Linked DNA regions of Alligator mississippiensis. The protein of the gene in region 1 binds, or shares a complex with, the protein of each later gene. Links are inferred from orthologs where the notes say so. Each region holds a gene or a part of one and is shown on either strand. Other genes may lie near its edges. The genes, in order: YWHAH and NUMB.

Region 1 (10,640 bases):
AGCTCTTCCATCCTCTCTGCATCTGCTGCTATAGGTAGTTGGTTTTGGGTGTAGGTAAATATCTTCCTCTTTGGGAATGGAAAAGATTTTGTCCCTAGTAGAAAAGCTAAAGTTGCAGCATTTCCATGTTAAAATGAGCCTAGCTTCTGCCAATCCAGTGTTTCATGATCAAAGAAAAGGGACAATAATATTCTGTAAGCAGCTTCAACAACTCTTCTTTAGTTGGACACCCCCCCCCCTTTTGAAATGAGAAGGGCATTTTCCATCTTTTGCCCAAAGGACACACAACTCAAAATTGCCCTGATAATTACCTCCTTGTTGATAGTTCTAGCAGACAGGGTAAGGATTCACTTGGTCAGTGAGACCAAACAGGCATTATTCTCTTAGAGGTGGGCCATCCAGGTTATAAAAGCAATGCGGAGATGCTTGCACTGCAGTTACCCGAGTCAGATTTCTCTGAACTCAATCTACTGCATCACTGAAGAGGATTAATGATAGGAGGGAAGGAGCTTTCCTGGTTTTTAGCTCCCTCAGCGTCTCTTTCATGACTATTGAACTGGTCGATCAGAGACCTACCCTAAGTAAATGGCCTCAAAGCTGCCTCTTCTGCCAGCATTTTCAAATGGATTGGATTCTCATTTTGGGTGCCCAGCTTGAGTCATTTCAGACCTTGTGTTGAGAGGAATGGAGCATTTCTGGTAATCGAGCTGAGATAGGGCACCTAAAAGGCTTCTTTTCAAAACAGTGGCCTCAGTAATTCCATTTTATCTTTGCCCTTCATTGATCTTATCTCCAAGGTCTTTTATCTTCTACAGTTAAGGATCATTCTTCCAAATCAAGAATTTTACATGAAATGTAATCCATTTTTTAGTTGAACAATCATATTTAGGTTTTAAAGTTTGCATAGCATTGAAAATAATTTAAAAACTCTTTTAACAGGCTGTTTCAGTTCTGCATGTCCAGCATGAGTGATGTTGACCTTGACTCCTGAAATACTGAACACCTCTGGGGAAAAAAAAACACATTTGGTGTCCTTTTTTTTTTTTTTTACTTTGGTTTTTACAAATTGGAGAAGGAATTTTCCTTCTGTTTTTCTCCATATGATGTTCTGTTGACTTTCTTCAAAAAGGGCATACCCTGTTTTTCTAGTATCTCTAGTTACTTACCTTTGCTTAATTATATGATTGTCATTTTTGGTTTTTAAAGAAAGAATTAAAATGTGCTCCTAAATCCTTTGACTGGGCAGGACTGAGGAGAACACTGTGGTCTGAAGCAGCCTTTTAAGAGTTAGAGATAAAGCTGCTTTCAATTAGCTACTGTGCTCCTGCCACTCGCACAAACCTTCCACAACTGAGCATGCTTTGCACCCCCCTGTGCATATCCCTGAATCATTCTGGCAAGGGAAAGCACAGCCATAATCTTTTATTCAGACATAGCGCTCATTCTTCATTGGACTCTAAAGTGAACAGGGCTTGAAAATATTGTATTTCACAGGGGTGTTGTGAGGATTTATTAACTCATGGCTGCACAGGGCTTTGAACATGTAAAGAGCTACTGTATACAAATTCCTAATACTTTGAAATATTGTGCAGTGACCCCAGGCAGGTTTCACTATGCAGACCTAACCCCATTCCACTAGGGACCACTGGTCATACAGAATCCACTCCCTACTGCCAAGTACCTCCTTACATTTGCTGAATGCAGGCACAGCACACCTTTATGTAACTCACAGCTTGATCCATAAGATTTTAATGCAGTACCCAGGCAATATAATCTTTCTCACCATTCAGTGTAATCTGTCCTTTTCAGTTGCAAGGGAGGTTCAGTGTGAACACCTTGCAGATTATTATCAAGGTGAAATATGGTAAATAGAACATTTTCACATGTGCCTTGGTTGTGTGGAGGGGAGGGGAGGTTCTGCTGCTAGTTAAACAGTGATGTATGGTTTGACTAGAAATATGCCATTGAATTACAGTCTAACATGATCTATGAGAGAATCAGTTTTCCTGTGTGACACTTAAACTACGCCCACTCCTATCTTCTGCTTTGATCTCACCATTACAACCCCTTTCCCTCCCTGATGTGCTATTAACTCACTTTACTATAAAGATGTATTGCCAATGCTTTAACCCAGGGGTGAGCAATTATTTTGGGTGGAGGGCCACTTACTGAGTTTTGGCAAGCCATCAAGGGCTGCTTGACAGGCAGCCAGGGGCAGATAAATATTTTCCAAATTTTTTAGGGGCTCTGTGGGCTGGATAGGATAGTCTGGCGGGCCGCATCTGCCCCGCAGGCCACATTTTGCCCGCCCCTGCTTTAACCAGAACACTTATGGCTCATAGGCTGTGAAACAGTGCATCCCTGCAGCCCCATCTGATCCTCACAGTCCCAGTCAAGATTCCCCACCTTTTCTAGTTCAGATCCCCAGCATCTTCAGATCTCATCCTCCACAGCTACCACTCTTGTCCTCTTTACTTCTGTGGGGAAGCTGGGTAGTCTGTCCTCCTCATCACCCAGCAACTGCTCTTCTTCTTGCTCTCCTCTGCTCCGTGACTTACCTCTCATGGTTCCTCCAACTTTTAGAATCCCTCAAGAAGAAACGTCTCTAATGTCAGGTTGGTAGCTTGCTCCAGAGATTCAATAATATCAGCAGCAGAGGCTCATTAGACCACTGTTGCTCTGCTCCCATGCTGCTGCATTTTAGAGCACAGGGAAGGAAGGGGGGAGATCAAAGCAGCCAAAGAGGATGGCCATCCAACAGCAATGGCAGGAGAGGATGGTTCAGGGACAGGGTACCAGCAGCTTTCCCTGCCTTTTTCTTCTTTACCAATGGTCCCTGCAGTTCTGATCTTCCAATGGCTTGAATGAAGAGCAGAACAGAGAGAATAAAGGGAATTTTAACCAAGGTATCTTACCATCCCAATGTGGCATATCATTGTTGTACATTGCCTTGATGCTCCAATAAAGTACGGCTGTGGCCCTGTGTGAAAGTGGGATTTGGAGCACCATAAATGTGCAGTCTCCCCAGCTGGAATTCCATGCTCTGTGTGGTAACCATGTCAACAAGGCTGAATCCCATTTTATGAGAACAGGATTTCTGACTTCATGTCTGGGCTCTGCTGGGAATCTTGGAATTCTGCAGCAAAATGCCTGGCATCTGAGCTTGGGCCAGGGGGATCATAACTACAGAGCTATGGAAAAAGACCTGTCTCTGAGCTCTCTAGGAAGCCCCAACGTTCTGCAGAACATTACATGATACACAGTGCTTCAGTTAAAGGTTTGTCAGTAGTTCTATGTATACTCTGATTTTTATCAGGGTACTCATATCCAAGTCCCCCTATGTGGCAACTTAAAACTCAGTGCACAAGTTCTTAGTGATATTTTAATGATTATTTCTTATTGGTATTGTTGTACTCAAGGGGATCAAGCAGGGGCTGGACCTCCATTCTGCCTGGTGTTGTACACCATGCATTACAAGAAGATAGTCCTTATCCTCATACACTTACATGTTAGATATTATTTTTCCTTCCTGTGTGCTATAATGAGGCTGTAGAAATGCTAGATAAAGTGTTAACTCATTTCAGCCTTTCCTTTGCCACTGACTTGGAAGTGTGCCCAACTTCAAAGCAAGACATTTGATGTCATGTGATGTGCCATCTTGTGGATTTAAGGGTAAGGAGATGCTTAAGATTGCTTCACGCTAAAGAACGTCTGTTATGCAGAGGCTGTGATTTGTTTTAAAGCCCTATCATGAAAAGGTGTGTTTGGGGGAAATTTACATACATATAATAGTTGAATAGATTATTTGGTTTGCTGGATAAATAAATATAACTGGGTTTAAAAATATTTGTTAATCTGTGTTCCCTCAGCAGGCTGAGACTGCTTTACAAGACTGGAAGGTAAACTACAAGCTTTCAAAACTGCTGGCACAATTTGTGAGCTGAATAATCATTATTAGAGATTAGCCTAAGATGCAATTTTATGTTTGGCTCAAACATTTATAGAGTTTAAGGATTTAATGTGGTTTCTTCCATTTCATATTGTCACCATTTAGTCAACCAGGAAAACATCTCTGACACAATTTAATCATACCATTTTCAAGGCATGATCCTGCCCTTCTTATTTGGAACTCCTTGCAGCTGCAAGGACATTTTGACTGAGGGACTGGACTGAAGGTTTACATTTTTCCTGGGTTTTTTTAGAGCACTTACCACTGTTTTCTCTTAAATGCACATATTAAAAAAAAAAAAAAACAGAATGCAAGATTTGGTAAGCCTCACAGGACTGCTGGTTTATCAACTCCAGCACCCTGCCTCCAAAGTGATCAAAGTGTGCAAGGTTGATTCTTCAGGGAAAGACAGGATAATTAATCCCACAATGCACTTGATTTTATGAACAACACTGCATGTGAAAATAGGGGAATTCTTTCCTTGCTCTTGTAGTGCTCAGTTTATGTCCTTAAACATGATAATTTATTATGCAAAGTTACACTTTGTTGTTATTGGCCATAACCTTTATCCAGCCCTATTTAAAAACCAAATACTGTATTTATTCTAAATAGCAGCAGTGGTCTAACTTAACCGCATAAAAGCCAGATAATTCAGATTTAAGACTAAAACTCATGGTTGATGCTATCGGATGAATTGTGCTCTTGCTTTCTGCAGTGTAATACCATTGAATATATGAGATTAATGTATCATTAATGAGAGCAGAACATCACCATGAGTCTATCACTCAGACTAACAGGCAAAGCACTGATGTCATCTTTTAGTGTAGTGTGGTCCAGAGCCTGCATCACTGTCACTGCATCACCTTGAGCAAGTCTGTCACTATTGTGTGCCTCAATTTCCCAATCTGTAAAATAGAGACAGTGATTTAAAATAGCAAGTTAAAATTAGAATAACATTAGAATTCTAATAGAATTAGAAAAAGAATAATGTATTTTTAATTAGTATAGAAAATCACCCTAAAGAACAGTCACAGGGCACAACTTGTAATTCCAGGGCAGTGCCTGGGATTCCACTGAGAGCTTTTTTTTTGAGGGATAGAGTAGGAAAATGATCAGAAAAATCCAAATAGTGGTCTTCCTGACTGATTTTGGTGATCCATGAAGCAGATGGAGATATTTAGTTTATCTTTGGGTTGATTTTAGTAACTGTAATATTTATTTCCAGTGACTAGACTCTGGTAGCTAAGGCCCTAGCAGCTGTATAATTTATGCAATAGTGCCTATGAGAGGTAGTTTTCAGGTAAGCCGTGTAGTTTGTTAATTTGATGAAGCATCTAACTGCTATGAAATGAAATATGTGATGAAATGGAAATTGTCCCACCAGGTACTGTGATGGTGGCTGGTATGTGCCCACTGGGCTCCTGGCTGGAGAGACGTGGTAACAGCTGGTACACGCTGTTTACCTGTTCCAGCAGAAGGGCCAAATTTAGAAAAAATGCGGGCAAAATCTTGTCCCAAAAGGACAGCTTCACGATGGCGTGTCCAGCACAAAACGATGTGAATGTCCAAGCAAAACCATGACAGGCAGAGGGTTGTTCATGTCTTTTATTGGAGCCGCTGTATAGCTGTGGGGACATTGGACAAGCTTTCCGGCTCCTTTGACCTGGCCCATCGCAGGGATGGACACAATCAGAGCCTGGAGAAAACAGAGCAAAGGGAGCGTGACCAAGAGGAAAATTCACAGCGCGGCCAAACCGTACAGGTGGCAACACAGGGTGCTTTGTAGGATGGCTGCCGGCAGACAGGGCAGGGCTCCCTGTGACCTGGGCGGCTGGGGTTGCTCCTGCTCTGAAGGCAGCCCAGCGGGCTGCTCTTCTGAGCGGGCAGTGGGCTTGGCGCGAGGAGGCAGATCCTTCCTCAGGAAAGGAGTAACACTAGCCTTCAATGCTCGACCTCCAGCGTGCGCATGCAAAGCAGCATGGCCTCGGCCCGGCCTAGCCTCCTCCCTTCAGCTCCGCTGCTCTGCAATGCCCTCTCCCCGTCTCCCACCTCCACCTTTGCAGCAGTAAAATGCAGCACTCGCATAGCGCATGCGCGCAGCTCCCAGCCGGTTCTCCGGCCCGGCTATTTATAGCAAGTGACGTCACCTTGAAATAGAACGCGGGGGAGCAGCAGCACCCCCCCCTCGGGCCGGCCCGCGCCCCGCCCCCCCGCCCGCTGCCCTCACACTGCGCAGGCGCGGGGGGGCGGGCGCAGCGCGGGGCTGGAGCCGGCCGGGGAGGTGCCGCACACTCGCCGCACACGCTGCCGAGGGACGCGAGCGCGCGGTCGCCGCCCGGCAACGGTCCCTGAGCGCGCGGCGCCAACGGTAGCCAACGGTCGCGGAGCCCGCGAGGCAGCGCCCCCCCTCCCCCATCGCCCGGCCCGGCCCGGCCGCTACCACGGACGCCGCCATGGGGGACCGCGAGCAGCTGCTGCAGCGCGCCCGCCTGGCCGAGCAGGCGGAGAGATACGACGACATGGCCTCGGCCATGAAGGCGGTGAGTGGGGCCGGGAGGCGGCGCTGAGGCGGGGCTGGGCCCCCACGTCCGGCCCGGCCCCGCTCTGATCCGCGCCGCGCCGCGCCCGCTGCCGGCACCTTCCCGCGCGCTGCCGGGGGAGCCCGGTCTCGACCTTGGCGGGGGGCGGGGGGTGCTGGGGAGCCCCCGGCGGGCAGGGCTGCTCCTTTCTCGATGCTGCTGCACCGCCGAGGCAGGAGGCGCGGGCGGGCTTCGCTCAACATGGCAGCGCTCCGGGACCGGGCAGCCGCCGCGGATCCGCCTCTTCCCTCCTCTCCGTAGCCCGACGTCCGTCTCGTGCGGTCCGGTCCGCGGCCTGGGCGGCGGCGGCGGCGGCTCTCGGACAGCGGCGGAGCTCGTGCATCGCGTGTCGCGGCTGTAGCGCAGCGTGCAATAAAATGGCAGAGCGCCCAAACGTCCCGTGTGGTCACCTCTTCTTCCTCGCCGGCCTGATCGCACAGCAGGGCTCTCCTCTCCTCTCCTGTTTTCTTTTCATATTTATTTTTAATGAGCTTCTAGCAACCTCATTACTTCAGGTTTACACCTGCAGTGACCTGTGTTGTGGCAGCACCCAAAGGCCCCCCCATCAAAATGACACCCCCACCCTCTGCCCTTGCTTGTGGGTAGTGCAGTATAAATGACCGTTTCCTTCACAAAGGAGGTCATGTTATAGCAAAAGACAATCCATTCAGGACCAGCTGGTCTTAAAATTAGGTCTCCCTATATTACAATCCAAAAAAAAAAGCTTTTTTTTTTTTTATTGTGGCTTTTGTTGCCACCTTTTATAGATAGCTTTCACGTGTAGCCCAGCCTGCCCTGGAGCTCATCTCATCCCTGATCAAAAGCACGTTCAGCTGTCTCTGTAATATAGCAAGCAGTTACACAGGATGTGAGAGAGCGTAGTAATGGCACACCCAGGCTTGCTATTGGAAGCAAGTCTAGGCCGTTTCGGAAATGGCTTTAATTACAGGTGAGACGTTCCATTCTCGAACAAGCTAAAAGGCAAGTTCTAGTGAAGTCTAGTGGTGATCCGGGAAAGTTTCCATGATTAAATCTGAGAAATGTATGTAGCCTAATGTCTATAAGTGGAAGGGGGAGGAGGGAGCTGCTTTCAAAGGAAAGCTTGAACATGGGAAACAAACACAATAAACTGACCATCCTTCGGGAAATCCTACAAATAAAATGTAGTTGGTTCAATGTGTTTTCTTTTTTTCCGATAATCCCTTTTAAACTGAAAATATTTTTACATTTTTATGTTGTATCTTGCTTCAAAATTGCTCTTCATTTGATATGTTTCCTTTACAAATACTGCATAGATGGCAACAGTTTCTTTTACTTTAGAACTCTGAAGTCAAATATTTGCTTCAATGGAACATGCTAATTGATTCATTCTTTAACGGGGCTCTTTTTTCAAAGGTTGAATTTGGAACAAAATGAATAGGGTGATGGAAGAGTGTTTCTCTTATTTAAACTGATCAAGTAACTGCAGTTTCTTGTATGCATGCAGTTCATGCAGTAAAATCTGGGTAAGTTTCTGTTCCAAGGAAATAGCAAATAATGGTCTAGTGATGAATTTATCAGAAGCCAACTGTCCATAATTTTCAACTCAATTGTCTTTTATGTATTTCAGTGGATTTTGTGAGAGTAAGTGAAGGAAGGTTTTAAAACTTGTGCAAATCACTGCATTATGTGGACACTTTTAAAATTCTGTACACCTAAGATTTCCTCTAATTGCAGTGCGAACAGTTGTTTAGAAAAAACACTCTTAGGGATGGGGGGCAGGAAATGGGAGGGCCACTAGGTAGTAGACATATTTAAAGGAGGAAATATTTCTTCTGTAATATAGAGTATGCAGTACTTAGTATGAATTACTCATTTAAATGTATTTTCCAAACTGTAAAAGAGTGAAGATCAAGAAACCTGCCAATATATACTCTGGCAAGCAGCATTTCTGAATATTACCCATAACATTTGAAATAAAAAAGCTGCAACCTAAAGATATATCCATGAGAAGTGCAAGCAAATGTTCTACCACGGTAAAATGGCATTCCTCCAAGGGGTGTGGCATCTTCTTTGCCTTAAACCCTGCTCTGGGACTTCAGCCAATTGAGATAATATTACATTTTGTACCAGAGTTCAGTTTTGAAATTCTCAAATTTTATTGTTTGATCAGCAGCCGTTGGTGGGAGTGGGGGGAGACTGAGGGAATACATAACAGTACGCTTCACGTGCAGGTACTGCACTTCAAACTTTTGTCTGAAAAATGCTCTATGCATATAAAGATTCAGGGCTACATTAAGCACTTCCTTTATTTAGCCTATTTTTGAGAATGAAATAAACTATTGGTTGTAATTAGAAAAAGCAGTTAAATTATGCATACCAGATTACGAAATGTATCAATTCTTGCATTGGTGAGTATAGTATGGGTATGCCTTTTAAATATATTTAGGGTTCTGACTTCAAAGTTTCTTCTATCTATGAATGCCTCAAACTTATTTTAATCTACTATATGTGCAGTGTTCTACCCTTTGGTTCTGTTTTCTTTCCCGTACTGGTGTCCCTTTGTGCTACTGAGGTATGCATGTATCTTTGGAGGAGTGAGTGAGCAAGGGTATGCCTTGGAGAGTGCTTCATGCTGGTTTGATACTAAGCATTTTTCACTGTTCAGTTCAATTCAGTAACTGTTACTTTACTTAACCTGGGATGAATGTGAGCAGCCCAAAGTCATTCCTAAATTACTTGCCCTCATGTCAGGATTTCTAGGGTCACAGACCCTCTGGTTCTTAGTATTGCAGTTGACCAGTTTGTTTTTTAACTGTCCTTCAAGGTGTGGAGCAGGGGTGGGGAGGGAACTGTTGGGAAGTATTGGAGGACTGTGTCAGCAACCTCTGTTCTCTCCACAAAGTCACCTTTACTAGCATGAATGACAACAGCTATACCCTTCCTGCTGGGCCAGCTAACCTGGGTTGAAGGTACCTCTAGACTTGAGTGAGAGTTTTATATGTGGGTGGGATATGTATTAATGTCTAAGTTAACACTGCAATGAAGACTTCCCTCAATGGCTTTATCATATTAGTGCTGTTCCTTTTCACAGTAGTTACGAAAGCTGATGTTGAGGACCATCAGGTTGGGGGTAAGTTTACTCACTGAAAAGCCTCTGTTAAGGGATGGCTATGCATAAAAAAGTAGAGAAAGGGAAGGAGGCTGACTTTCTGCCTCTGAGTCAGTGTTTTTACCTCCTTAAGGAGATGGTGAGACTAAGAGGAAGATTTTGGTTGTATTAAAGTACAATATGCCATTGTATTCTGTACTGTCCACCTTCCTTGAAAGTCACTTGCTTTCTGTTGCTGCACCCACAGCCTCCTAATACAGCTGAGTTGCTTATATATGCATGCATGCAGGCCCAAGGGTCTCTGCTCATTGCTTAAGAACTAAATAAAAAATGTATGCAACTTGGCACTATGAAAGTCCTGTTAGATACCCACCTATATGAAACTTCTTGTAGCTTTCAAACTGAGTTAGAAAACTGGGTGGGAGTACCAAAATCCTTAGCTTACTACATTGAACAGCCTCATCTGGGCAGAAGCTACTGGTAGTTTGGGGGTCTCAGATTCTTCTTTCTCAGTGTTAGACAAGCTGAGGTGAAGGTGCGGGTTCACTTGACCCAGGTTGCTAATGATGTAAATCAGATCTTCATAAAATCTGTGTAATTCTAAATGTGTGTGCTTACTACAACCTTACAGTTAGCCATTTGGACAATGCTTTAGCTGTGTGGTCAGATTTGTGTATACTGATAAATACACACCAATACTCTAAAAAGAACTTGTTATACTAAAACAAAGAGTAAGAATTAAAAAAAAAAAATCTGATTATGATCATTATTGGGATTATTCATGTCCAAGAACAGTATTAATTTTTGGATTTGTAGATACTCTGGGGGGAAAAATGTTCTCATGTGGCTAGGTTCCAGATGAGAGAAAAATGGTGGTGTCATAGTTAACTGATAGGCATCAATAAAATAGGCTTAGTAGAGAATGAGTCACTTCTATCTGTTAATCAGGTTTAGTTTTATTGGTATCTGGAATGTTCTTGTTCTCTTGCTATCTATAGTCTGAGGCAGGTGACACTGGAAT
Region 2 (11,350 bases), on another chromosome or scaffold:
GAATTAATAGGTGGTCGTCAGCAGCTGCTTGCTCATACATACTAGCAACTGGGGGCTCAATTAAACATTCTAATTAGAATTCAGCACAATATAACTCTGGTTTTATGAGCATATAAAACACGTTGCCAAGAGCCACACACATTTTATTTAAGAGGACATAAAAATGTGGGGTAACAGCTTACTAAAAAGCCACAAGTGCCTTCTGAACAGAAAAAGAAATGCCACTTTGAAGAGAGTTAGGGGTATATTTGTTTTGTGACTCCATTCAACTCGCCTCCCCAAGAATTGTAGTCTTGTAATGCAACCCTTAAACCATGCAAGGACTGATCATGCTTGGGTTTGAGTGACCTTCACAAATGGGAGCAGAAGGTGCATGGTATCTGGTGGGATTGGGCTTGTGGTTAGTCTAATTTTTCACTCTCCATGTGATTGTTCAGCATAATGCAAATTGCTTGGCACATCCTCTTTATTTCTGGCAAAGCATTAATGTAAATCAGTCACTTTTAGAAAGTCAAATTAAGTTTAATTCTTTTTCTCATTATTACTTTGTTGGCAACCTGAGCTCTGCACTGTCAATTTTGCTTTAGTGCCAAAAGCAACACTCATTATGGAAAAAGAGCATTTTAAGCCTGCAGTGATAGGTTTTCGTATACCAAAACCCTGACAATCCTGATCTCCATTCAGCCCAATTACATCCACTATGTCAGCATTGTAAGGACATTGGGCAGGATTGTGAAACCTTCTCTTTTAGCTGTAAAGTCCACAGCCAGATAACAGGACTGAGAGCTAACTCAAAAGACTGTTTCTCAAGAGCTGTTTTCCAGCCCCTCTCATCAGGGTGAATACACTCACTCACTGAAGCATCTTTCAACAGAAATCTTGGCCTACCTCCAACTGCCTCTCTCTTTTCAGTGATTTCCTCCTCCTCTCTCTGTTTGTGGTCTTCAGTCCTAGTTATCTTGTACACAGAGCCTTACTGAGAAAATGAACTCTCCCAAAATCTGAACAATCCAATTGATATTAATTTATAAAAATAATCATTAACAGGCCCAGGGACCCTGTGAAACAACTAGATTGGACACAAGAAAAGCACAAACAACTCGGCTTCTCCCTCCTCCTCCAAATTAAAGTAAAATACATAGAAGGTTGTAAATTGTTTTTATTTGATGTTTCAGTTTTTCTTAAATTGGAAGTCAGTTTTAGCAAGCCTGCAGTGATACGAGGTTGAAAGTTAAAACTGGAGATAGATGATTCTACTCACATGTTTTGTACTATTATTTCTCATTCCCAGTGGGATGCTGCAGCTTATTTGGGGGGCATTTTTAGGGGTATTTTTTATATTTGTGATACACACGATCTAAGATTTGGTAATATTAAGCAGATACCATCTGCAGTATCTCTGTAGCCAGTGACTAAACACAAAGCTGCAGACTCTGAGAGTCCCAACCTTCATGCTTTTCACTGGAGGGAGAAGGAATAAGTGTGCATGAGAGGGAAATCCATATAATAAAATGAAAGAGAAGAGAAGCTGGATGAAGTAATTGCACTATAGGATTACCTTGTGCATGCACAATTGAGACAAAGGGTACAATCAAGCTGCCCTCCCCCATCCATCCTATGTGTAGTACCAGCACAATCTTTTCATGGGCACAAACCATGCTCTTGACAATCTATTTGGGCAAGGCTTTTTCTCCTAATAACTATTCTAAAAGATTCAGACTATCTTCCTCCCATCCCTTCTGTATTAACCATGACCAATGATGCATTACATTGCTTTGTTCATAAAATGGATTTTGGACCCCTTTCAAAATGCAAAATCTACTGCATACCAATTTGTCGTTTACTCCTTCAATAAGTTCCTAACAGAAGAAAATGTCCTATGATTTCACTGATTCCTGTATGACATGACTATATAATTTTATTTATACTGAGGATTTTCTGACATCCTTCCATGCTCTGTCTAGCAGTACAGTATTAGCAAGGTGGAAAATTCAGTGCAAACAGGATGCATGTGTTTTAACAAGCACATCATTGAGTTCTGTTCAGAGCAATATAGGAAAAAACATCATTAACTTTCTGTCCTGTCTTTCACCTTTGCTAATACAGGTGGGGCTGTGCTGATGCTACAGAAACATTGAGAAATGTTAGGAAATTCTTGGGGCCTGTTTGAACATACAAAGCATGTTGCTTTATACCTGTGTAGTCAAAGTAGTACAATTCTTTCTGGACGTACTTATACTGTTAAAAGTATAGCATACTGTGTATGCTAGTATAGCTTATCCCTATAAAGAATGAAAGAATGATAGAGCATCCTGGCCCTCATTACGTCATACACAATGAGATTACATAAGTTAGATTTATTTTGTAACGCAGAGGGCCAGTCAGAGAAAACTAAGGTGAGCCATATCAATATCTGGTTCACTGCAGTGAAAACGTGGGGCTTGTAAAATAATAGTAAATTCCTAAATTATAGAATCCTTAGGAGAAATGGTACAGATTTTATTTCTTCCTTTGTAGCTATGGAAAGGTCTAGAGTTAAACTGAATCAATTCACTTCTGCTGGGTAGAAGTAAGCAGGACTCAAGGAACTGAGTCTACAACCCTCCAGAACCCGTGAAGCTCCACTCTATTGTGATTGTTCCTAGGTTGATGCTTTTGGGACAGGGCAGGAATAAAAATTGGGTGGAGTTTTTGGATTTGCTATGTAGACCCTGCTAGCCATTCATAACCCCTAGAATTCATAGGTTATCGTGGGGCTGTCCAACCGACAGATCCCAAGGGGTTAAACTACAGTCCCTGGACTCCTGATCCAAGTGATAACTCCTCCCTTTGTTCTCTTGCTGCTGTTGCCAGAGTCCCAAGCCTCTCCCTTCCTCCTCCAGCTTCCACTGCCTGCCCCCACCCCTGGAGCAGTGAGGCCAGTGGGGCTGAGGGACCCCATAGCTAGAGGGCTCAGGGGACTTGGGGACCTCACACATGTTGGAGTTGGTGGGATGCAGTGGGAGTGGCCCACTGTGCAGCAGTAGGGGACTATCACATCCGTGCATGTAGGGGGTCTGCATAGCAAGGCATGCCTATGTGGTGGGGCTATGGTACACTGGGGGCACATGCACTGTGGGGAGCTTTCCCAGTGCATTGTGGGCCCATGCAGTGCAGCAGGGGGGCTTGCATGGTGCAGTGTGCAGCCCATGCGGCATGCACTGGAGGTATGTGACCTACACAGTGTGTGACTGGGGTCCGGTGACTCCTGCCCATTCAGAAATTGGACAGTCCTAGGTTACTGTATCATCAGGTCTTGCGCCTGACATTAGGCCTTGGAGATGGATTTGTTGTCCTGCATCCTTGGAAACCCTCTCCAGGAAGCTCATCTATAGGCTGTAGGAATTGGCCCCCTGACCATCATAATGAGTGAGAGTGTGGTTTAATTCAAGACTTCTTTTATGGCTAGCTTTCCTTCATCCTCCCTCATGTCCTCTTTTCCCCATCTCAGTCATTAGTGGCTACCTAGGGCAAGTCAGCAGGCAGCAGCATTAACAGAACCAAGAGAATAGCTACAAGCAGGTACATTAAAAAAATGCAGATATGCTTGGAGATAGGCATATATTTGGACTTTATCGATTAAAACTGTAATGTATTTCTTTGACAGTAGTGTCCTTGGTTTGTCCTTACCAGTTCATGGCTACATCACATGTGAAAGTTGAGGTCACTTGTAACATGACAATCTTTCTCTTGGAATGAAGGTTTAAAGCTCAATACTTTATCTCAAGTTCTATGTCAGCAACAGAGAGTCCAGAGTCTAGCTTTGGTAAATATGAGGAAGAGCTAAATTAAAGCCACCTGGAACATAACATATCTAAGGAGCTATTCAGGTCACAAACAATGTTAGGCTTGTTAGGCTTCAAAAAACCTTAAGATCAATGCAAACATTCCCTTAATTTTTAAACATTTTTAGTTCAAGCAGTTTAAATATATTTTAACACATACTGAAGTTATACACTGGTGAGTGTGTGAAAACAGCAGTGCGGAAGTAACTAGAGATGAGTGTAAAAAGAAGTAGAACTAACCAGTTTATTTTCACTCACCAAGCTGAGTCATATGTAAAAAGAGGGGAAAAAATAGATTTCTGCTTTCAGTGTTGATAGTCTAACAAAAGGTGATTTTGTGGTTGAGTCACTTGCTGAGGCTCAGAAAATCAGAGTTTACTTCTCACTTCTGCCACTGACTTCGTATGTAATGATGAACAAGTAATTTAGCCTAAGTTTTAAATATGGATATTGGTTTTAGTTTGCCTCATTTGTGGATGCCCACACCGAAACACCTGAGCTCTGATTTCCCATTCCTCCATTCCTTTATTTGATTCAGAAAAAGGGGAAAGAAGAGCTTTAAGTAACCTTTGCATTTCCTGTTTCTGGGGGAGCTCAAGGCTGCCCTAACTTGTATTTGGATACAAGAGCTGCCCAAGGCCATTCACAGAAGGCAAGGAATTCTTGGCTAGTGCTTCCTGGCTCTATACCTTCTGCATGTGGTTCATTTGGGTGCTGCACCCAAAACACTACCACTGTCACTTCTTGAAGCTGACTTTCCCTACTGAACAGTAGCATAAGTAAATATGGGTGTTGTGGCAGGAGAGTTCTTGCAGGAGGACGGAGGTGGGCCCAGGCTCACACGGTCATGCTCAGCTTCCAGCTAGTTGGCACTAAGGCTCCTTGTCAAAAAGCAAAATGTAAGCAGATTTGTGCCAACTGGGCAGCACTGCCTGGCAAAGATGGTGGGCAACCCTGGAGCTCCTGAGCATCACCAGGCTGCGACAGCAGCAGCAGCAAGCCCCAACACCCTGGTGGGTATCAAAGCTCAGGAGAATTCAGATGCCTAAACTTAGGAGTCCCTTTTCTGCTGAGACACCCCCACGTCTGGACCATGAAACACTTCTTTCTTACGACATTGTAGGATTACAACATTCAGAGATTAATATCTAAATTTGATAACCATTTGGCTGCTTCAAGGGTAGCTGCATGGATTTTTAGATCATCGTTAAAAGGTCTAATTGGGCAATCATTCACAATGTGTTGCATCGTCTAAAAAAATCGCACCACAATCGCAACCCGGATTCTCTTTGGTTCTCCATTTATGGAGCAGGTGTCCACATTTTCCATGAAGTGTCTGGTTGCGATTCAGGGAGGACCAAATCTTTCTTGGTAGGTCAAATCCTAGCTGGGGAATTGTAGGGTCACTGACAATGTATTTCTGTGGTAGGCTGGTATTTGCCCAAGCTTCCCTCCATTGTTCTTTGGTGCTCTTGTTATCATCATAGAGCTTCTTGGCATATTTCCAGAAGGGTTTTCTAGATTTGAGTCTATCCAGGGGTGGCGTAGAGATGTCTTTGTTGATTGGGAGGTTTGGGTCACAATAGCTTTATGGTAGTCTCTCACACATGTGGTCTTGCGGCCGAGCTGTGGGAGAGCAGTGTTTGCTGGGCCTGGGAGCCGTGGCAATGGCGTACTTTTAGTGTTCCTGATATAATCCGCATAGCTACAGCTCTAGGCAAAGCCCAAAAAAGGGTTTCAGTTGCATGGGGCCCTTTCCTTCTATACCGGCATCAAGCTGAAATCCCTCATGCTGCACTTGGCTAGGCGCAGGTTCCCGAGGGATGAGGCGGGCACAGCGCCCCCTCTCCGCAGAGGCGCGGGAGAGGCTGCGCGGAGCCCACGAAGGGTTAACTCGGCCCAGGTGCTGTCTTCTCTGCCCCTCCCTCTCGCCTGTGCGCCGTGCAACCAACCTTGCCACCGCCACCAGTCTGCCGACCATGCTGCTGAAGGCGGGAGGGAAGGGGGCAGGATCAGTGCAACAGCTGGCAGCCCTGGCAGCCTATCTTACCTCTCAACCTCAGCAGCTTGAGCCAATCCGGAGGACGAGCGGTGAGGGGGGGGGAGGAACGGGGGTGGCAAAGCCCCCCCCCACTTCGAGTCTACCCTCCCTTAAAGTGAATAGGTGGGTACTAAGTGGGGTGGGCGGGGCCGAGCCGTGACGAGCAGGCGCGCCGAGCAATCGAAGCCAACCAGGCGGGCGCGGGCGACCAGTAGGTTGCGCGGCTGGGCGGGGGGCGGGGACTGTTGTCAGGGGGGCGGTGGCAGCGGCGGCGCTGGTGTTGGGTGGCGAAGGGCGGCCGAGGCGGCGCGGCGGGGAGGCGGCGGCGGCAGGTGAGTGTGGCCGGGGCCGAGACCGAGGCCGAGTCGCGGGGCAGGATTGGGTCCGCTGGGGGGGGGGCGGCGATATCCAGCCCGCGGTTCGGGGGCGCCGCCGCCGCTTCCTGCCCGGGGCCGCCCGGCGCCGTCCCCCCCGCTCTGGCCGGTGCCGCGCTGGGCCGGGCGGTGCCCTCGGGGCCGGCAGGTGAGGGGCCGGGCCGGGCCGGGCCGGGCCAGTGGGGAGGCTGGCGCCCGGCTCCGGCGGAGAGTGGGGCCGGCTCTGCCGGCTGGCAGCGGTCCCGGCCGCGGCCTGCCCGGCCGGTCCCGCACCACTCTCCGCCTCTTCCCGAGCTCGTGGCAGCTGCTCCGGGCTCCGGCAGGCAGCAGGGCCGGGCCGGGCTGCGGCCGCTGCCGACGCCTCTGCTGCAAGCGGCTGTTCAGGGAGGTCCCTGCGCCTCCCCGTGTGTCCCCCGCGGCCTGGGGACCGTAACAATGGCCCGGCCTGGCCGCAGCATTGTTCTCTGGCGCAGCGGAGCCGCGCGCCCTCGGGCTGCGGGCGGCCGGGCGGCAGCTTCCCACGCACCCGCGGGCTCGTAGTTCCAGAGGAAGAGGAAAAACAACGCTCGCCTCTCTTATCCCCTCCTCCCCCCCCAGTAATCCACGGAGGTTTTCCATTTCTTCATTACTTGGCCCTTCTCCATGGAAACAGCCTCTAAAAAATTGGGATCAATGTGAATTTGTGTCCAGAAACCTGAATCAAATTAGGGCCTTGTGGTCACCCTTGTATGTAAATCTGAGAGCTTTGGTTACTGAATTGATCCTACGGCAACATTCATTCATCTGTAACTGAATTAAATGGGGGCTTGAAGCCTCAGTGAAAGCTCTGGTTTGCAAAACTCGAAACATTACTACACACTCGCACTCTTGTACACACTCTCACATCCAGGCCTGCACGCACACTCTCACATGGCCACGCGCTCAGTCACATTCACACTCTCTCGCATACGTGTGTGCTTTTTCCTGCCTTTTAGGATGGACAGACCCTTGGTATCAGTCATTTAATCTGTTATCAGCCACCAGTTTGCTGTTCATAGTGACAACTATGTTGTTAACTCTTATTTCTCTTTTTAACTGCAAGTAGTGAAGGCTGAAAGAGACTCTAAACAAGACCACTTAAAAAGGGCTGGGGTATTTTCTATCGTGATACCATGAAAATGTCTTTCTGATACTGTGGCAGCAATTACCAATCCCAAGCACGTAAAAAAAAAAAAAAAGTTATATGGTTTTGTGGTCTACCTTTAAAATGACACTTTTGGGTTTGACTAGCTTTCTGGTCTCTTGCACCTTTATAGTAGATTCTTTTTCACAGCCATCCAGGCTAGAAACCGTTTTTTCCTTAGTGAAGGCTGAGGCTTGCATAATTGCTTGCACCCATGCACTGGGGGCCAGACTTGTGATATGAATGCAAGGGTTGACACCAGCCCTGTGATAAGAACTCTTGTCTCTTGCCTATAGTTGCTTATACTGACTTTCTCTTGTTGGTGCAACTGCATTAGTCCTGGAAAACAATTGTGCTTTCCCAGGGTAAGTGTACCTTATAAAGGCTTTGTCATTTGTCTTTGTGGAAAAAAGATGGGTTTACAGAACATCAGAAGTTTGGAGAAAAACTAGTTGGTCTATAAAGATTTTGAGGAAGCCATCTTCAGCTTGTTCATTGATCTGGTAGCTGTCTTTGGGCAAGTTTTAAAAGTTGTTGCTTGTTCCTAGCGCAAACATGGCTATTGTTACCTGTCTGAGTCAGTGGGTTTATTTTAATCTGTTAGCTGATCAAGGCAAACTCCAGGCACCAGTGTGCCTTTTACCTGGGCTAGCATACATTAAAACTATGACCTGTTCATCTATTTTACTCACAATGCTTCTTGTCAAAAGCTTTGTGATTAAAAAGTGTTTTGAGGAATCTGATAATTTTGAAGGGTGTGTTATCTCTATACCAGCAATTGATTGAATGTGGGTGGTAGATGTTTCGGGCCCCTTTTTGAGGATGGTGTGAAGCCAAGCCAAGCAGTCATACCATTGCTCTAGAACAGGGGTCAGCAACCCCCGGCACATGTGCTGAGCATGACACGCAAGGCCATTTTGCTTGGCACACCACCGCCAGCCTTGGTGCTACTGTCAGCCTCGGAGCTCAGGCTGCTCCCAGCAGGCAGCTGGGAGGCTGCAAGCCGTGCTGCAACGGGCTCTGTGGGCTGGCTGCAAACAGCTGTTCCAGGCTCTGGCATGTTGACACTCCAGCATCTTCCATGTTAGACGTGTTTTTTTCAACACTCCGGCCAAAAAATGTTGCCTACCTCTGCTCTAGAACCAGAAGTAAACCTTAGCTTTTATGTGTGTTCTTAAGAAATTGCTTTGGGTCTGTCTTCAGAGTCAAATCTTTGAGTCTTCAGATTTTGAGGTGAAATTTTTATCAACTTTAAATCATGGTCTAAAAGGTCATCAGCAGAAAGATTTTGGATTTGCATAAAGCAGTTCAGAAACTTCTGGATAGCCTGCCATTTCTTGAAAAAATTAGACTTGATTTTTTTTGATGTGTTGGATCATAAATGCAGCCCTTTTCTGGCTGCTTATGTGTTAGTTCATGTGCCAAAAGAATCTCTGAGTTGTTTTGGATAGATAGCTTGTTGGCTTGGGCATCTTTAAGTGCAAGTCTAGAAAGCACAAATGCCATCAAGCCTGCGAAGATGGAAATTGTATATTAGGACATTGGGCCAGGAATAGTTTCTAGCATATGATAGCTAAACTTGACCTAAATGTGACTGCCGCTTTTAGTCCAAACAAGCCTCAAGGGTAGATCCTGGGCAAAAATGTGGGCTTTTGGGGGTTTGTTTATTTTTTGATTCATTGTATTTGTTTTTACTTGAGTTAGCTGACCTTGATTAACACTTTTTAACATCTCTTATGCAACTTGTCTAGTTGTCTAGTTGTGGCTTTTATCTAGGTAGTCATTGTATTTAAACATGCCATTTTCTTCTAGTCTGCACAAACCCAGAGAGGCTTTGACTTTGTTAAAAGGTTTCTGTGGAGCTTTAGGAAATGACAGGCTGCTGCAGGCCACCAATCCCTCCTCCACCTCCTCTGCCATCTCCCCACATACCACCAACAGAGGTTTAGACCCAGTTTCTTCATTGGCTTTTCCCTCCCTACTATGAGAGAATGCTGTTACTGCAGGGGGAGGTGTCAGCATGGGGGGAGGAGGGTTTGTGGGGGGAGTTGGACAGCAGTTACCTGGTGTAAGGAACTTTTGGTACCTGCTTGTTCCCTTCCCCACTGCAGCTGCCACCACTTGTCCCCATCGCTGAATACTGCCAAATCCTATTGCCCTTAGCAATGAGAAACTGTAAATTCTGTGTTGAGAATTATAGCTGCTGCCTTAGAGGAGCTGCTTTAACCCCTGACTACTGACCACACTGACACCTTCCTGCATAGGAGTGGCATCCCCTGTTAGGGAGAGGGGAAGAGTCTGACAGGGGGAACAGAGCTACTGGATGCGACCCCCATGAGTCTCCAGCCACTCCAGGGGCTCTGGGGGACTCTGCTGCAGGTTAGATCCAATTTCTTTGTGGGCTGAATCCAGCCTGTGAGCTGCAGGCTGCTGACTCCTGGTCTAGAACATGGAGCTGCTGACTGTCCCAGGATAACCATCTAACCCTCAACTGAGCCTTTCCTTTAACAGTTGATCTCTTCTAGCTCTGTCTACAACAAATTTCTCCAGGGAGTTGTTTACCTGAGATTAGGGAAGATGGCCTGTCTTCAAGGGCACCTTACTTCTAAAGTGATGTAAAAAATGATTCCTTACCACCATGAAGGCTGGTAGATAGATTTACACTGTACAGATGGTACAGATTATTATTTTTTGTCTTCAGAGGCTGACAACAAATATGAGAGTTTGAGGACACCATTGTGTTGTACTTCTATACAAATATTATTCGTCATGGCATTGAGAAAGTTTAACTGTAGCCTGGAGTTTTTTTTCTGTTTTTCTGGAACTCCATCATCAGAGAGAGAGAGTGAAAGTGTGTGTGTGTGAGAGAGAGATCAAATCAAACCAGATTTTATTTATATATATATTTTTTGTGTGTATATGAAAATAAAGTAAATGACTGGTCAGGTATCAACTCCCTGAGAAATCTGGTTTGATTTCTTGCTGTATTCCCCTTGTTTTGTTCCAAAGGAAGAGCTGAACTATCTTCCTCTTGCAAAGAGTAATTGATACTCTATATGATTTCTGCTGATTTCTATATTATTTTTTATGGCTGCACAGTTTCACATTCCTGCAGGAGTGTATTGTGACTCAGTGGTCCTTAAGTTTCTCAGTAATAATGTACATAAAATGAACTGTTGTGTGAGAGGGGAAAAATATATTGATGAGTCAAGGTAATCTAATAAAGTGGGCATGTAGACCTCTTTTTTGCAGAGCCAGTGTGTTTATGACTCATTTGGAAGTAAGCTTTCCACAACTTTATTGCTGCCTGGTTTTTATTTGTGAGACAAAAAGATGCTTGGTAAGGGTATGTTATATCAGTAATGCTAAAATTTGTTTGGAGTACTTTAAAGATAATTTATTTAATCTTTTCTTGCTTAAATCCCTAAATAATTCTAAAATGCTAAACTTTCAATCTCTCTCTTAATCCACTGTTTAAAAATACATAAAAAAGTGAAAGTAAATATGCATGAGCCCAAAGAGTTTAGAAATTGACACATTTGAATTCCTGAAGGTTTTGTAGTTTGCTAATGATTTATGAGATTTAAACTAAGTTTGTAAAGCTTTTTTTATATTAGAATGTGTGCATTTCAACCCTGAATACTACAGGGTGTATGTAGATCAGGGGTGGACAAAATGCGGGTGGGGGCTGGATGTGGCCTGCCAAGCCATTCTATCCAGCCCGCGGGGCCCCTAAAAAATTTAGAAAATTAATATTTATCTGCCCCTGGCTGCCTATCATGTGGCCCTCGATGGCTTGCCAAAACTCAGTAGGTGGCCCTCCACCCAAAATAGTTGCCCCCCTCCCCCCTTTTTTTCCTTAGGGTTAGGATTGTTTGTTTTTACACAAGCCAACATCTTTTTAGACACTAAATAACTTTGTCACGTGGATTCCAGATATAACAACATT

What was found.
Region 2: the proteins of YWHAH (region 1) and NUMB are in contact, whole or in part, in a crystal structure (PDB 5YQG), measured with the Mus musculus proteins. The link is inferred for Alligator mississippiensis from reciprocal best matches to the Homo sapiens genes YWHAH and NUMB. Residues at the interface, in NP_035868.1 of Mus musculus: Arg57, Arg132, Tyr133, Leu177, Asn178, Val181, Glu185, Ile222, Leu225, Asn229; in NP_001129547.1 of Mus musculus: Gln274, Gly275, Ser276, Phe277.

Annotation. Positions count from the first base shown.
Region 1 is NC_081833.1:20,143,830-20,154,469, reverse strand, and holds the start of YWHAH (14-3-3 protein eta), read left to right. Parts: upstream 1-6,214; 5' UTR 6,215-6,402; coding exon 6,403-6,489; intron 6,490-10,640. UniProt on the Homo sapiens protein: Adapter protein implicated in the regulation of a large spectrum of both general and specialized signaling pathways. Binds to a large number of partners, usually by recognition of a phosphoserine or phosphothreonine motif.
Region 2 is NC_081825.1:236,383,118-236,394,467, reverse strand, and holds the start of NUMB (protein numb homolog), read left to right. Parts: upstream 1-6,120; 5' UTR 6,121-6,197; intron 6,198-11,350. UniProt on the Homo sapiens protein: Regulates clathrin-mediated receptor endocytosis. Plays a role in the process of neurogenesis.